Notamacropus eugenii: one gene and its partner. The protein of the gene in region 2 interacts with the protein of the main gene of each other region in a biochemical or structural test. Links are inferred from orthologs where the notes say so. Each region holds a gene or a part of one and is shown on either strand. Other genes may lie near its edges.

What was found. The genes of interacting proteins can lie anywhere in the genome.
Region 1: the proteins of LRRK2 (region 2) and YWHAB interact on a protein array, tested with the Homo sapiens proteins (2 studies listed by BioGRID and IntAct, with this or other methods). The link is inferred for Notamacropus eugenii from reciprocal best matches to the Homo sapiens genes LRRK2 and YWHAB.

Annotation. Positions count from the first base shown.
Region 1 is NC_092872.1:521,249,328-521,253,080, reverse strand, and holds the start of YWHAB (14-3-3 protein beta/alpha), read right to left. Parts: upstream 2,212-3,753; 5' UTR 1,287-2,211; intron 62-1,286; 5' UTR 16-61; coding exon 1-15. UniProt on the Homo sapiens protein: Adapter protein implicated in the regulation of a large spectrum of both general and specialized signaling pathways. Binds to a large number of partners, usually by recognition of a phosphoserine or phosphothreonine motif.
Region 2 is NC_092874.1:212,969,351-212,973,103, reverse strand, and holds the start of LRRK2 (leucine-rich repeat serine/threonine-protein kinase 2), read right to left. Parts: upstream 2,385-3,753; 5' UTR 2,225-2,384; coding exon 2,071-2,224; intron 1,803-2,070; coding exon 1,717-1,802; intron 1,711-1,716; exon of another isoform or gene 1-1,710. UniProt on the Homo sapiens protein: Serine/threonine-protein kinase which phosphorylates a broad range of proteins involved in multiple processes such as neuronal plasticity, innate immunity, autophagy, and vesicle trafficking.

The sequences.
Region 1 (3,753 bases), on a different chromosome or scaffold from region 2:
TGCTAAATAGGTCATTGATCCTTTTCATCTCTTTCCAAGTATTAGAACTAGATATATGTGTCTACATTAAAAGACATTTTAGGAGAAAAAGCTGTGAGATTATTGGTTTTTAACATAAAAAGTCACTAAGGGGACAAGCAGGAAAAGTGGACTAAGGTACTAAGTATTTCCCTTAGAAAGTTCAGTCACAAATAAAGGGAATAATCATTTACAATCAAGTTGGCAAAGATTATTTATTTCCCATTATAGGTCGTCACATATATCACAGATGATATAAGACCAAAAAATCATTTTAGGTTCAATTATTAGATTGCCAAAAACATGGCTAGATTTTCCTGGTCTCTCTGGTATGGTAGGAAGAGCACTGTGTCTTGGGATTTAGAAGATCCACGTTAAAGTTCTGGCTCTACTTATTAACTATGTAATCTAGAATAAATAAATAATCTAGAATAAATAAATCCCTTACCAACTAGGCAACTAGGTGGTGAGGTAAAGAAAGTACTGGAGTTAGTAGTCAGAGTTAGCAAGAACTGAATTCAAGTATAATCTCAGAAACTTGCTAGCTCTGGGACCCTGGGTAAGTTGCTTAACTTTTTTCTGCCTCAGTTTCCTCAACTATAGAATAGGGGTCATAACACCACTTACTTCATTAGGTTGTAGTTTGAGGATCAAATGAGATATTTATAAGGTACTTAGCACAGTGCATGAAACACAGTGGACAATCAGTAAGCACTTGTTCCCACTCCATCACTACCTCCATCTCTGGTTGTTAGGACTAAATGATAATGGATGAAAAGAGCTTTAAGGGTTATTCAAATGTCAATTAATTCTCTGAACATAATATACTGCTCAAGACTTTGTAGTATAGGGAAGGATGTTAGAATGGAAGTCAGGAATACTGGTTCTTTTACTATGCAAGTCACTACCTCACTGGGACTCAGATCCTCCTTTTTGAGCAGAGGACATGACCTGATGATCTTTAAGATGTCTTCCAACTCTGATATTCTGTGATTTTATGGCATGTTACAAGGATCACTGTTTCTCTGAGGAAGGTAGGGGGATAAGAAACTATATCCTTCCTTAGGTAAACAAGTTAATCATTTAGTCTAAGTGAGTTTGTTACAAAGCTGAGTACATCTTATAACTCAGTGCTCTTAATCCAATGTACTTTCCACTAGATGACAACGCTTATTAGGGTATCTACTCCAATAGAAACATTTGTAAGAAATTTAACCTGAGAAAAAATATTAAGCTAGTACAGAAAAACTGATGCTAAGAGTCCATACCTTCAAAATCCAATTGAAAAGAACCTAGGATTTCTGGGGCTGCGAAAATAAACTATTAGATTCTGATAAGCCTAAAAATAACCAACAAATTTCTTGCTGCTTTACTATGTATAATATGGTGCAAAAAAAGAAAATTACAGTGTTGGAAAACTGACTATTAGTAGATGCTGCCCCAAACCCCACTACTAGTACACACCAGAACCCTTCACAAATCCCTTTGAAAGACAGTCCATATGTACCCCACAGATTTTGTCTTCATAATCAATTTCTTGCTTAAACACAATTCTGTATTTTAACACAGCACAAGAAGAACACACTAAGGATCGAAAGCATTTGCTGTTCATTGTGAAGGGCTATACAACGTGTTGAGCTATATTGCTTATTCAGATGGTTTCTTTTCTTATTTAATGAAAAGTGAGTGACTGGACAAGTATAATTTCCTGATCCCAGGAAATGATTGATCATGAAGATGTTATTTTCAGTACCACTTATGACATGATGTATGCCAAAAAGTAAAGTGATATTCCAAATATTCTGTCCTTTTACAGAACAGCAGTTTTTTTAAAAAAATCCTACAAGCAGGAAAAAAATGCTATTCTTATGTCTAATTACTTTATTTGACCATATGACTTGTTCACTAAATTGAAGATCCAAAAATGATTTCCCTCCAATTAGTTAATGTCTATAATAATAAGGGTTTAGTTCAAACTTGAGATTTTTTAGTCTAGACTTGTGATTTCACTGTGTAGGGAACTCCTAGGGAAGAAACTCTCAACCAATGCTAATGATCAGCAATTATTCAACAACTTTTGGCCTTAGAGAACCATGTGGGGCAACAAAAATTTTAAGTAACTTGCTCCGGATCACACGACTAATATCAGAGGCTGGACTTGAACCCAGGTCTTCCAGACTCAACGGTCAGTCCCTGTTTCAAGAGAGAAAGGTATTACAAGCAGAAGAAACATCTGTATTAATACACAAAAAGTACCTGAATTTCCTGATTGTACTACTATGAAAGCAACATGTTTACAACTGGGCTGGATCACAGCTGAAGGCATCTGATATGCAACCTCCATTTTTTGCTGCAAGTGACCTGAGCTCTGGATCTCTATTAGCCTGTCTACTCAGGAATTTACCCAGTCAGCTCTGTTGTTCCACCTGATCTACAATGTTCTAGTTCTAAAATGGTATCAGTATCCATAACTACTGTATGATGGCCCAATTTTAACCATAACTCGAAGAATTACATTTGCCCATATGAATACCTAATTGTGACTAAGGACCATTAAGGCTTAATGTGTGGTCTAGGTCAAATCACACTTCTTATGAATTCTTTTTTTTTTTTTTAAATGGGTTAATAGTGTCTAATCTCACCAGGTGAGCTGACAATTGGAATCCAGTGGTAGTGAATTGGCCTTTTGAGTTTGGAGGTCAGACTTCATGCCCTAGATTAAAACAGCCCAATAAAAATTCATATGGTTTTATTCTCAGCTTTTCCTGTGCTACCCTCAGCAGGAATTCAAGAAAAATGAGAAGACCTGGAAGAAATCTTCCAGCCAACAGTGAGGTACACATACAGGGAGGAGTCTGTAGCATATAGCACAAGGCCAAAATTCGGACAGACTGAAAGTAAAAATCTAACTTCCAAGCTCCCAGGTTGCCATGTATTCATGTCTATGTAAATGGTTTTTCATCGTTCCATAGATTTACATGCGTGACCTTTCGGCTTTTTCTCAGCCTTTCCAGATTCACAAAATCTGGCCAAATCCCATCCACCCACACAGGGCAAGTAAAACCTGAGCCTGATACTATCTATTCCTAACAAAGAGAATGCGATTAGGGCAGGAGGAGGAGTGTAGGATTTTTACAGGTAGGCAGACAACCTTACTAATTTGGCCACCACAAACCATTACATATTAAGATTCCATTTGCCACAGGCAGTGCCTTTCTGGGGGGTGAGGGGAGGAGGGGAAGCTATCCCCGTCACTCACTCTCATCCATTCCACAAATCCCAACCCCAAAACGTGACTGGGCCCTGAAGGTAAGTGCCTGCCGGGCAGAACTAAAAACAAACAAAAACCCCCTAGCTATTAAATTAGTATTCCCCAGGGGAAAATGTCCCATTTTCTGGTCTCTGTTTTTTACTGGAAACACGTTTGTCTCAATCTGCGTAAAGATCTGCATTTTCTTAATTCCAGCCGTAATTCCGGGCTTGCCCGACACCCAGTGCACTGGCAGAACCCCGTAACCACCGAACGGTGAAATGGCTTTACTGCAAAGCGGAGGGTGGGGGCTCATTTCCGTCTGCGCTTCCCAAGGTTAAACCCCTTACTCACCCACAGTGGGCCAAGCCAGAAGCTGAGGACGGAGAAAACACCCGTGTTTTATTAAACAATTTGATTTATTTCGATGCAGAAAACGCGGGGCTCAGGCAACAAGCTGCAAGCAGCCTGACCTCGGGGCCCAG
Region 2 (3,753 bases):
TATGGACAGTACAGATAAAATCCAGCTTACACACCAGACTGTTTCCAGAGGATTCTTGATACCATCAATTACCTTAGACCTAATTCAAACATTAATTGGAGAAGGGAAATGTCGGTCACCTGATAAACACAAACTTACTTAACTGAAAAAGTTAACATGAGAGGTCATCAGACTACAACAAAATCAAAAATCTATCTATAAGTACCAGAGGACATGGACTATGTTTTAATTATCTTTATGTTTAGGTCTATCACAGTACTTCATAGAAAATAATCATTTAATAAATGTGTTGCTGAAATGAAATATTGGAATATGCCATAGGGGAAATTTTTATTTTAGTCTAATAGTAACCTAGTGTTGAAAAATATAAAAAAGTCTTTATCATATCTTTGTTTTAATTTTATTTTGCTTACATCTCAACTCAAACTGAAAAAAAATAAATGGTAACGGGGAAAAGAGAATGTGTTTTTCTTGCCATGTAAAGTACTACACAAAATTACCTAGTTGTCTTTGGACTTGATCATAAAATACAAATGAAATATAACTTGCAGTGTTAGCACTGCACAAAAGCACTCTCTAGATACTGCAAAGCAAACTCAGTCAATGGATGGAAACAAAGAAGAGTAGCAATAAGAGATATTACTGAGTCCAATCTATATGTATGACAAAGTGGATTTGGAGTCAGAGGGCTTGGGTCTGGAACCTTCCCTCTAATATTAATGTCTGAGTGACCTAGATCAAATTAGTTATCCTTTGTGACTCCGTTTCCTAACTTGTAACATGAATTAGATTTGATAACTCCTGAGATTACTTCCAGTTCTACATCTAAGATCTTTTGAACAGTACTAAGGAAAAATTTTATATCCCAAGTGAGGATCTTAACAATATAGCTAATATCTTAATTCGGTTTCACATTTTTAAGCACTTAGAGGAAGCTAAGTAGTTAGACTAGGTCTGAAATCAGGAAAACCAGAGTTCAAATATGACCCCAAGCACTTACTAACAGTGTGACTTAAAACAAGTTATTTAATCTCTATTTGCTTTAATCCACTGGAGAAGGAAATGGCAAACAACTTCAGTATCTTTGCCAAAAACAAAACAAAACAAAACAAAAAAGAAAACAACCATGTATGGTCCACAGGATCGCAAAGAGTCAGGAGTCAGACAGGACTGAACAGCAACATAGGACTTACCAAGTAAAAGACACTGTACTGTTGCGGGAAATGCAAAGATAAAAAGGAGTTTTTTGTTGTGTGACAATATGTAACACAACTGATTAACTTGGCTAAATATTTTAGTGGCCATATGAGCTACAGTACTACACTTTGAACCATGATAAATGGTTAAATATTTGTATTCATACATTTATTTCTCACCTGAGATCATCTTCATTCCCCTAATACCTACCGGCTTCTCCACCTTATTAGCTCCCTCCTCCAACAATTCCACTACAATTGTCATCTGTCAATGTATTTTATGCTATTATTTAAAGGCTAGTTCAATGAGTCACTATCCTTTTGCACTAAAAAAAATGTTCAAAAAACATTTAACACCCTCACCATTTTAAAAATCACAGCAAGCACAAAAACAGTGTATTCTTAATAATAAGACCAAGTATATAAGGGGTTCATTAGGACAGTTTCTCCCAAGATCTTTGAGTTTAAAATATTTCTTTCCAAAAAGGAAAGGGAAAAGATAAAATCAAGCGTATTTTACCTGCTGCACACCTGCGACTCTCATGTAGGAATCCAAAACAAGCAGCAAAGGCATATGGACATTTTTGCCTTTAAATAACTTGGAAGCTGGGGAAGAAAACAAACGAAAACTATTATTCGCTGCAGCTTTTTAAAAGCAGAAGAATGAAAGAAAATAAGAGAAAGCAAGTCCTTTCGTTTTCAATTCTTTTCCTAAAAGCGATCTGTGCTCCCCGAAAAGGCTGAGCCAATGCAGAAAACTGTCTGCAAGAAGATTCCTTGGAAGGGCCCGTGCTTTTACGGACGTGGTTATATTCCTTCTATTGCCATATTTGCCCCAAGTTTAAAAAAAAAAAGGAAACAACTACAGGATTACCGTGATCAGAGTACGTTAACATCAGCATATCCTCTAGTATCTGGATCAGGGTTTCTATCTGTTTTCCTTCCTGCACATTTTGCAGCCTAACTATCAATTTCTTCAGAGTTTCCTCTTCTTTTTCTTCATCCCCGAGGCTGCAGCCACTGGCCATGACGGACCCGACTCCTTCCCGAGGTGCCCCCTGCCCCTAACTCTGAGCCGGAGTGCTCCAAGACTGAACTGGGGAAGGCTGACCCAGCGGATTCCAGAAAGTCCCCAATGCAGGCATGCTCTGTGGCTTTGGCCTGTTTGGGAAAACAGCCCCTACCCCGCCCTTCCTTCTACGTCTTCCTAGCGCCCCACCCCAGGGCCGGAAAATGAATTCGATGCAAACTTTGAGGGGAGGAGATAAGAGGAAGCCGCTAGAAGCCGCTAATCCTGGCATCTTCTAATCCAGTCTGTCATAAATCCAAAATTACTGCAACTAGAGCACCAGTCGGGCCTGGATTCTGGTCCCCAGGAGTACTGACCTGCCCAGAGACCAAGGCAGATGGACTCCAGTAGGCTGGATTTAAAAGATTAAGGATTACTTAGCCCTAACCAGCAGAGCAGAGGAATTCTGGTTAGAATGCAAGAGATTGCTACAGGGGAGTGACAGCTCAGAGAGGGAGTGGGAGAGACAGACTGGAGAGGGAGTGGGAGAGAAAGCCTCCAAGAGCTCAGGGAACCTAGGAAAGAAAGGCATGGTAATTTAGTTCCTTCCTTACAAATAGAAAGCCAAGATTTTGTTAGAAAAGGCATTGTCCCTTGGAAGGGACAAACACTTTGGGATTTAAATCCTGACATTAACTGAACATGAGTGTCCTCAATTTTGTAACTATTTAAGAACGTAGCCAACCTTTGGCATGAAGAATTCACAACAGTGAGAGAATGCAAATAAAGGCATGGCTCTGGAATTTGGGGATGGCAATCACTGTCCAAAAGAAACTGCCTGAGCTCGGGATTTTTTGTTTTGCTTTTTAATTTGGATGAGACCAACTTCAATTTTATCACATGGATTTTGTTGTGATTCTTGGGTTTGAGCCATTGGAGGAGGCATTTGAAAAGATGTTAAATTCTCCCCAGAAGCCCAGAGATATTTCCTGAAATGTTAGAGATGTTGACAAATATATTGGAGATATAGACAAATGTGACAATTGCATCCCATCTAATTTCTCTGAAGACAGGTAAATGATGCTGCATTAACATAAAAAAAACTTCTCTCTCTCCCTCCCTCTCCATTCCTCCTTCTATCCACTGTCCTGTCTAGATGCCCATACACGCATATATATACATATATAGAGTCTACGTATATATGTATATATTCACGCATATATAGACTTTCTATGTATTTATAGATATACATATATATGTAAAATCTGCAGAATTGTCAGACACATGTCCATTACCTACTGATAGTGTCTCTTGGATAAATAAATTGCAGTTATTTGTCTCTATTATGTGCTGGTTTATTTTGGCAGTAGCTAATAAGGACTCTCAAAATCTTCTCAAGACAGTCCCAGAGGAATTTCTAGCTTTCTCACTTTTTGTGTTATTCTGTCTTTTCCCCATTCTATTATACTTCCACTGTATGAACTCCATACTGTCATATCCCTCTATGTCAAACCAGCCAGCAGCCCCCTCTTTGACTCCCTGACTAGC